Ovis aries: one gene and its partner. The protein of the gene in region 2 purifies or fractionates together with the protein of the main gene of each other region. This does not show direct contact. Links are inferred from orthologs where the notes say so. Each region holds a gene or a part of one and is shown on either strand. Other genes may lie near its edges.

What was found.
Region 1: the proteins of SLC39A7 (region 2) and FAM174A purify together in Homo sapiens (co-immunoprecipitation; 3 studies listed by BioGRID and IntAct, with this or other methods). This does not show direct contact. The link is inferred for Ovis aries from reciprocal best matches to the Homo sapiens genes SLC39A7 and FAM174A.

Annotation. Positions count from the first base shown.
Region 1 is NC_056058.1:97,364,962-97,369,424, reverse strand, and holds the start of FAM174A (membrane protein FAM174A), read right to left. Parts: upstream 2,904-4,463; 5' UTR 2,711-2,903; coding exon 2,268-2,710; intron 1-2,267.
Region 2 is NC_056073.1:7,539,698-7,544,295, reverse strand, and holds the start of SLC39A7 (zinc transporter SLC39A7), read right to left. Parts: upstream 3,002-4,598; 5' UTR 2,953-3,001; intron 2,650-2,952; 5' UTR 2,646-2,649; coding exon 2,235-2,645; exon of another isoform or gene 2,146-2,234; coding exon 1,977-2,145; exon of another isoform or gene 1,820-1,976; coding exon 1,766-1,819; exon of another isoform or gene 1,633-1,765; coding exon 1,468-1,632; exon of another isoform or gene 1,317-1,467; coding exon 1,176-1,316; exon of another isoform or gene 970-1,175; coding exon 773-969; exon of another isoform or gene 1-772. Other genes in the region: RXRB (retinoic acid receptor RXR-beta), read left to right, coding at 3,417-3,648, 4,309-4,556. UniProt on the Homo sapiens protein: Transports Zn(2+) from the endoplasmic reticulum (ER)/Golgi apparatus to the cytosol, playing an essential role in the regulation of cytosolic zinc levels.

The DNA of each region.
Region 1 (4,463 bases), on a different chromosome or scaffold from region 2:
ACGAGATAGAAAATGAAGAGAGAGAAATTAGAAAAATAGGAAACTGCTAGATTTTCATATCTGCTTCAGCCTTCAATCATTTGCTATGCGTTGTCTAGTTGAAGGATGTGAAGAAAATCCAGGTACAGTAGATGTGAGCTTGGAAAATGGAGGTACATTTTAATAGCTTTTCAGATTCTGGTGTTAACATTTTTTTTTTGATAGAACACCAAAACGCGACAAGAGTTAGTTTCTTATGAGTTAGCTGCACTGCGGAATTTGAAACTATTATCAATAAACTTCTTGGGTCCTATAAACTTATAGTGAAGTCACTCAGTCATATCTGACTCTTTGCGACCCCATGGACTGTAGCCTACCAGGCTCCTCCGTCCATGGGATTTTCCCGACATGAATACTGGAGTGGGTTGCCATTTCCTTCTCCAGGAGATCTTCCCAACTCAGGGATTGAACCCCGGTCTCCGGCATTGTAGGCAGATGCTTTACTGTCTAAGCCACCAGGGAAGTCATAAACTTATAAGGGAATGTATTATTTTGAAAATAGTTTCAATATTGCAGATACCTGAACAGGTCTCAGAGAACCCTACCACCCTCCAGGGTTCCCTGTTACGCTGTGCTTTTTCAGTTAGTTATTTAAGCCAAGGAATGTTCGCTTAAATAATGTTTTTCACTCACAAAATAATAAACAGATATGTTTAAAAGGAAACTTTAAGTAAATCCATTTAAAGAAATATATGAAATGGTTGAAGGTAGGCAGTTATAGGGGAGAAAAAAAGTGAAATAATTTGGAAAACAAACCAGTACCTTCCCACACAACTACCTCTACCGCAGTAAATAGGAGGGAACTACCTAGAGCTTCCTTAGCTCTTCTCTCGGCTTCTTCTAACAGCGAGTTCTTAGCTCTGCATTTCAACGCTTCAGAGGTGGTCCCCAACTCAATTAAAGAGGCTTTATCATGACTTTTCCAAATCGGTCTCATTACATATTTGGCATGTTATAATACCATGATTCATGCCATAATATAACTTTACTTCTGTAACAATAGAACGTATCAAGTGGAAGTTACTTACGACAATATAAAATATCACCAATTGACCTATATAATTCCTTTTCTACTTGATAAGGCATTAAAGGGAGTAGAAAAATAAGTGATAGTCATTTACTTATTCATAACCTGGTACAATGTAAGGACCTGATTTAATCAAAAGGCTGATCACAGATTTGGACACAAACATCATGGAAAAAAATTCAAACGAAGCAAATGATGGATTGTACAATCAGTGATGATTATTATATATCGTGGGACATCACTTTATTCTCCTAGGTTAGTTTTATCCTAGGTAAAGTTAAAGACGTGGTTTAAGTGTCCATATTTGTAACAAATCTGAAATTTAACTAATTCTCTAACATTCTATATTAAGAATAAGCTCAAAAAACTATTCATTTGTAACTTTAAGCTTCTGAATGACTTAGAATTATTTACAGATGAATTCATTTTAGAAAAGCTTTTTGGAAGTTTAAAAAAAGTAAGTCTATCCATTTACTAATCCAAATTTTGTAAAGTTAAAACATATATAGTTGTTAAGATATTAAACATACTCTCCAATATTATAACGGGATCATATTTATGACTTTTTTCCCTTTGCTGCACAGGTATCAGTTTTCCACCTTATCAAGAAATTGGTAATATTTCACACCATATTATTTCAGTTCAGTCGCTCAGACTCTTTGCGACCCCATGGACTGCAGCACGCCATGCCTCCCTGTCCATCACCAACTCCCGGAGTTTACTCAAACTCATGTCCATTATTTAGTGTCATGCAAAATGAATGCTAGATGTTTCTAATGGGGACTCTAACAATGATTGAACCTACGCAGTTGTCAGTTTCCAGGTTCAGAAAAGGTGGAAAGCAAGAAACTTCATAAGGTACAACCGATGGTGGCAAGTTAAAAGTCAACAGCAGGAAACTGCTGTTAAAAGAACTTCTTTTTTCCATTTTATAAATCATCCTTAAAGATCATTCTGCATTACTATCAATTTACTCAAATAAATATTGATATAGAGGTTCGGTGCTAATTGATAGTTTACACATGAAAAGGGAGGCAGCACGAACTTGGCGGTCTGAACACTCCCAAAGGTACCACAGGCTTTCAAGACAGTCCTCGTCACAATCTCACTCAGCAGGCACCGTGACTGAGGGGGTGGGAGGAGGTCGGCAGACAAGCGCGCCTCAGGCCTGCCGGGGAGGCTCGCGGAGGCTTCGCCTCACCTGACCGTCCTGACGACGAAGTACACCAGCACCGCGCCGCTCACCACCATCAGCACGGTCAGGGCCCGCTGGGTCATGGGCTTGTCGCCGGGGTCGGGGCTCACGGCCAGGACGCCGCCCGCCGGGCCCCCGGCCCCCGCCTTCCCGCCAGGGTCGTCGGCGGCCGGCCCCGCCCCGGGCGTGCTGCCATTGCCGCCCTCGGCTCCCCGCGAGCCCGCGGCTTCCAAGGCCGGAGCGCGGCCCGCGGGCCGGGCGGCGGAGGGCCCGGGCGGCGGAGGCGGCCGGGTGCGCGGCCCGCGCGCCGCGGGCTGGGGGTCGGGCGCGGCCCGCGCTGCCGGCGGCCGTCCCGCGGAGGGCCCGCTCAATTCGGGCAGCAGCAGGGACAGCAGGAGCGCCGAGGCCAGGGCGCGGCTGAGGCAGCAGCTGCAGAGCGTCGGCTGCATGGTCCGCGGCCGGCTCCCTCACCGCGCGCGAGCTCCGGCGCCCGCCGCCCTGGCTCCAGGCGGGACCATGGGCGTGTTAACTGAAGAGACGGGGGAGAAACGCTGACTGAGGCCCGGGCGAAGACCTGGCCCGCCGCAGGTGGCGGAGGCGGCAGCTGCAGCTGCTGTCGACAACCGGAAGTTCGTACATCTCAGCAGCCCCCTGCTACTAGGGACGCTCCCGGTTGCTAACCTTCCGGGGCTGGCGCGTTCCGTGACGTCAGGCGCGTGAGACCGTTTGCGCCCCGCGCACTTCCGGAAGTCGAGGGGAGGGAGCCTGCGGTTTGCTCCCTAGAAGGAAAGCAAACGGGAAGAGAGTTGTGTCAAGTGTGCAGCAACGCTTTGCGGGAAGAATCCAGGAGAGAGTGGAAGCTTGTAATATGAGTTCGTTGGTGCAAAACTGAAGAAATACAACCAGTTACTTATTAAAGACTGCCTTGGCGTTTCCCTCAGCTCAGGTACATATTTTACTAGACTGGGTTGTTAGGTCACTAGAAAAAAAGTAAACAGTTGTGTCAAGTGTGCAGCAACTCTTTGCAGGAAGAAACCAGGAGAGATTGGAAGTTCATCTTTTGAGTTCGTTGGTGCAAAAGTGCAGAAACACGGCCAATCATTTATTAAAGACCACCTTGACGTTTCCCTCAGCTCAGGTACACATTTTACTAGACAGGGAGGTTGGCGCACTAGAAAGAAAGGAAAAAGTTGTGTCAAGTGTGCAACTCTTTGCAGGAAGAAACCGGGAAAGAGTGGAAGCTCATACTTTGAGTTTTTTGGTGCAAAACTGCATAAATACAGCTAATCATTTATTAAAGACCGCCTTGACGTTTCCCTCAGCTCAGGTACACATTTTATCAGGTATTTTTTTCCTGCCTCTGGGTCCTTGACCTCCCTTTCCTTAGAGCGTTACGTTAGAAAACTGTTAACTGTAGCAATAATTGGTACAGGTATTGGTAACTGGTAATTGATTCTCTGCATTTTGGGGATATAAATCTTTTTAAAAGTTCTTTCCCGTGTTACAACCCAGGGCTGTCTTTCTTGAACTAGGAGTCATCCTTTTAAAATGGCAGAAAAGGAGACAGCACCCGTAACTCCCAGTCTCCTTGGAAGCATAGAAGCCTAAGTTAGGCAGGCGCTTTGTTTCAAGTTGTAAAACTGCCTCCCGTCACGAAGCTTAGAGAAATTTTACTTTTCCTTTGTGAAGGCTTCCCTAGTAGCTCAGATGGTAAAGCATCCGCCTGCAGTGCAGGAGACCCGGATTCAACCCCTGCGTTGGGAAAATCCCCTGAAGAAGGAAATGGCAACCCACCCAAGTATCATTGCCTGGAAAATCCCATGGACAGAGGAGCCTGGTGGGCTACAGTGCATGAGGTCAAAAAGAGTCGGAATTTCCTTTGGGTAAACAGAACTGACCTGAGAGTTTTCCTACTCTTAAAATATCTTAAGCTTTCTGTTGAATTGAGTTCAGACAGAGTCCTGGCCCCTCTTTTCTGTTGTGATCGTCTTGAATAAGTCTCTGCCTGTTTAACTTTGACATCAGTAATATGGAACTTTGGGGTGACCAGATTATAAACAAAAACAACAGACCAGAAATTGAAGTTAGGATCTGTTCTTTTAAAAACTTCCTCATTCAACAAATTTTTTAGACTTTCTACTCCTTCAGAACTGTATTTGAGTATTGAACAGTAGACAAGATATCATCCTTGCTCTCATAGCC
Region 2 (4,598 bases):
TGGAAACTAAAGAGTAAAGCAAAAAGAGGGGGGGGCTAGAATAGACACTTTCTGAAAGATCTTAGAGTTCCCTTTCCACAGACCTTCTGACTCAACAGGTCACGGTAGGGGGCACGGTGTGAAAGACCCCTATACTATTCAGATGGTTTCTGGATTACAGCTCAAGAACTACTGAACTGCAAGACAAACATAACTTCTTCCTTTTCACTACTAGAGGATCCACTGTCACCAATACAGGCATACCTCAGAGATACTGTGAGTTCAGTCCCAGACCATCACAATAAAGCAAGTCACATGAATTTTTTAGCTTCCCAGTGCATGTAAGTTATATTTACACTATCCTGTAAGTGTGCAGTAGCATTATACCTACAATGTAAGAGCTTAATTAAAAAATACCGATTAAAAAAGGCTAACCATCACCTAAGCCTTCAGCAAGTTGCAATCTTTTTGCTATAGTAACAGCAAAGATCACAGATCAAGGTAACAGTAATGAAAATGCTTGAAATGTTGCAAGAACTACCAAACTGTGACTCAGATGTGAAGTAAACAAACAGTGTTGGAAGAAAGGTATCAAAAGACTTGCTCAACAGAGTGTTGCTACAAATTTGTAAAAAATGCAGTATCTGCTAAGTGCAATACAGAAACACAATAAAACAAAGTATGCCTGTAGTACAATTTGTTTCAAACTCATGAGTGGCAGTCTGGTTTGGGGCTAGGTGAGCAGAGGGTAAAGGGCTTGAGGTAACCATGTTTGGTGTACACCATCACCAACCTGCTTTTTGCTGCAGCCAGACTGGACCAAGATGGCAAAGTCTCCGACTTCATGGGGCACCTCATGTAGCAGAACAGTCATTGTGGTCAGGATCCCCAGCCCCCGGCCCCCTCGAAATGAAGCACCAATGGCTAGACCATCCGTGAAGTTGTGTGCCAGGTCTGCAGCCAAGTTCAGGTACCCTGATACACGTAGGTCTTTTATAGGAGAAAGGGAAGATGAAAGAGTTAGAGGCATTCATCACCCCTAGTCCCAGCCGTGATCAACCATTATCACATCTCCCCGAGAGACCAGTTCATATCCAGCCCTAGTATTTCCCAGACACCTGCCATCACCCACAGCGCTATTTCCAGCAATTCACAACTATGTCTCTGGCCCAAGCCTATGGAACCCTGGCTCTCACCTGACCCTGCTTTCTCCTCTTCAGCGTTCTGAGGTCTCACTGGCCCATCTTTGGGCCTTGTACTCCCCCCTCTCCTCTTCCTCAATGCCCCTGCCTCCTTTTCTTCTTCCTCTGAGCTCTGTTTCTCCTTCGAAGAACGCTCTGTACGTGAAAAAAGGAATTGGTGTAAGCGGAGAACAAAGATCTGCCAATATATCCTCACAAGGCTAGTCTCCTCCCACTTCAGAACCTTCAAATGAGGAGATCCAAAGGTAGGCAATGTGGCTTTCAGAAAAATTGTTCCTGGGCTCACCCTGTCTTCCATGTTCATGACTTTCATGTGTGTGACCATGAGCATGTCCATGTCCGTGACTGTGTCCATGTCCTCCTTTTACATGTCTCACAAATTTCTCCACCACAAGAAAGGCGACAATTCCACTGAGGACCCACAGTCCTACAGAGAGAATGGGGCCCTGGCCTGGGAATAGATGCATTGAGACATTAAGGGAGATGTGGATTCTGGACTCTTCCTCCCCACGCATAGGAGAAGAACAGGAGAGATAGACCTTCTCCAGCACCCCAACCCGTGTCTCCACCCGCCCCTTCCTCACCACTGTGGGAATGTCCATGTCCTGGCTGCTCCAGAGGGTGGTGAGAATGAGGTTCTGGAAGAAGAGGGAGAAAAGGCCAGATGAGGGAACCAAGCAAGGGGTGTGTATTTGCAGGAACACTAGAAGGTGAAGGGTCACAAAGGGGAAAGAACAGTCTTGCCCAAAGACTAAAATTCATTAAGATTTGAGGTAGAAGCTAAAGATCACTTACCCAAAGCATGAGGAATGAGGTGCAGGAAAGCATCTCCCAAGAGCCCACCAGAAGCAAAACTCAGCAAGATCTGGAGCAAAGAGCGGTGGCGAGCGGAGTTTGACTCCACAGGGATAAGAAAGAGGACGAAAAATGGAGCTGCAGAGATCAGCACCGTGGCCCCCAGTGCCTGGTGAGGGAGAGTCAGGGGTTAAGAGGTGTGGGGTTTCCCAACAATACAGCATCAGCCTCCCTCTGCCCCATCCCCAGGGGACTCACATAGGCCCAGAGAGTGACAGTGTCCAGGTCCTGCTTGACGCCTAGAGCCCCAGACTCCCCATAGCCTCCATGACTGTGCTCATGGTCATGTCCGTGTCCTCGGTGGTGGAGGCTCTCATGGGAGTGGCCGTGACTATGGCCATGGTGCAAATCCTCGTGTGCATGTCCGTGGTCGTGAGCGTGGGTATGCCCATGCCAGATGCTCTCGTGAGTGTGGCCGTGGCCATGGGCATGGCTGTGTCCGTGGTGGAAATCCTCATGTGAGTGCCTGTGGCTGTGGCCGTGGAAGTCCTCGTGCAGGTCTTCGTAAAGGTCTCCATGACCCCCGTGTCCGGCCACTAGCAGCCCCAAGGCCGCCCAGGTCAGCAGTCCCACGGCCACCCAGCGGGGGCCCCCCAGGCCTCTGGCCATCACGCTGACCAGAGGGACAGAGACAGTGACTCCACTTGGCCCTCACTTCTACACCCATGAGGGGTCCGCTTTACTCCGTTCGCGCCCACCGTCCACTTCTATGGGCCGCTCCCCCATTCCGTTCTGTCCCCACCCACATTGTTCCCGAGACTCTATCCCGAACCCCTTCCCTGATACAGGGCCCCCGGGACTCCGCTCTAGGCTTCGATCCTCCACTTTATGGACTCTCTGGGCTCTCGTCTCTATGACCCGCAAGGTGAGGAAAAGGGCCTGGAAAGGACAGTAGAGAAAAGCAGGGAATTCTCACCGGCTCCGGGATCCTCTCCTTTCCCGGTTTACTCGGACGTGGCAGTCCCGCCCCTAGCTCCCGCGAGAACTTGGGAGTCCCGTTCTACCTCGGTCCCAGCACCTTTACCAATATGGCCGCACTCCGGGTGGCGGGGATGCGGACCAGCCTTGGCGCGCATGCGCGGACGTGGAGGTTATTTAAGGGGATGCCTGGCGAGACTGGCTAACAGGCTGGAGAAGACCGCCTCCTCCGTTTCCAACTAGACGAGGGGGCGGGAACTAGCGCGAAGACTTCCCGTCTATACCAAGATGGCTGCCACACTGGCGCTGTCATTTTGGTACAGGGCCGGGCGAAGCGCTTAGTTTGACCCGGTTGAAGCCAGAGTCGTTTCCTCTGGGGCTTCCTCGTGCTCGGCTCGTCCCCCCGAGCGGTCCTCGGCAACCCCTGGTGCCGCTCGGCGTCCCTACACTCAGCTGGGAGTCATGTCTTGGGCTGCGCGCCCGCCCTTCCTCCCCCAGCGGCATGCCGCAGGGCAGTGTGGGCCGGTGGGGGTGCGAAAAGAAATGCATTGTGGGGTCGCGTCCCGGTGGCGGCGGCGGCGGCCCTGGCTGGATCCCGCGGCGGCGGCGGCGGCGGCGGCGGCCGGAGGACAGCAGGCCCCGGAGCCGGAGCCGGGGGAGGCTGGACGGGACGGGATGGGCGACAGCGGGCGGGGTGAGTGAGCCCGCAGACGGGCCCGGGCGCCGAGACCCCGACACCGGCGGCCCCTTCCCCCTCCCGGGCGCTCTCCCGGGCGCCCCCGCCCCCTTGTTTGTAAACACGCGTCCCCTCCTCCCGGGGGCCGCAGTGCCCTGCCCCCGGGGCGGGGCGGCCAGGGGGCGCTTCCGCTCTCCCAGCGGCGGCCGCCGGAGGCCCGGCTGCCCCGCTGTCCCCGGCGCAGGGCCCCGGTCCTCGAGCCTGAGGACCCTGGACATTGGGAGGCGAGTTCCGCGCCCTCGGCGGGGTCTCTCTCCCCTGCACGTTCGGGCGGCGAGCTGGGAGTGCAGAGGCTGGCGGGTTCCCCCCACGTGCTGCCCCACCCACACGAGACGCCTCCGGCCTGGGGTGGCCAAATTCACTATTTGGAGCTTGCCTCCCCTCAGCTCTCCTCTTGTTTATCAGCCCCCTCCTCCCACCACGATTAGGGGTTCAGCCCTTGTTTGGCAGTAGGCTGCCTCTGGACTTGGGAACGGGTGGAATGGGGGCGCGGTGGGGAAATCAGAGAGAAAGAATGGAAGTCTCCCGTTGGGCGATCCAAGACTCATTTTCTCTTTTTGTCTCTCCTGTCTCTGTGTGTCTGTGCCTGTGTGTACCCTCCCTCACCACCCCCCCCAGACTCGCGGAGCCCAGACAGTTCCTCCCCAAATCCCCTTCCCCAGGGGGCCGCTCCCCCTTCTCCTCCCGGACCACCCTTACCCCCTTCAGCAGCTGCGTCCCTTGGAGGTTCTGGGGCTCCACCCCCACCCTCGATGCCACCCCCACCACTGGGCTCCCCCTTCCCAGTTATCAGCTCTTCCATGGGGTCCCCCGGCCTGCCCCCTCCAGCTCCCCCAGGATTCTCCGGGCCTGTCAGCAGTCCCCAGGTGAGAGGTTGTGACCCACTTAACTGCCGCTCCGCTTTCGTT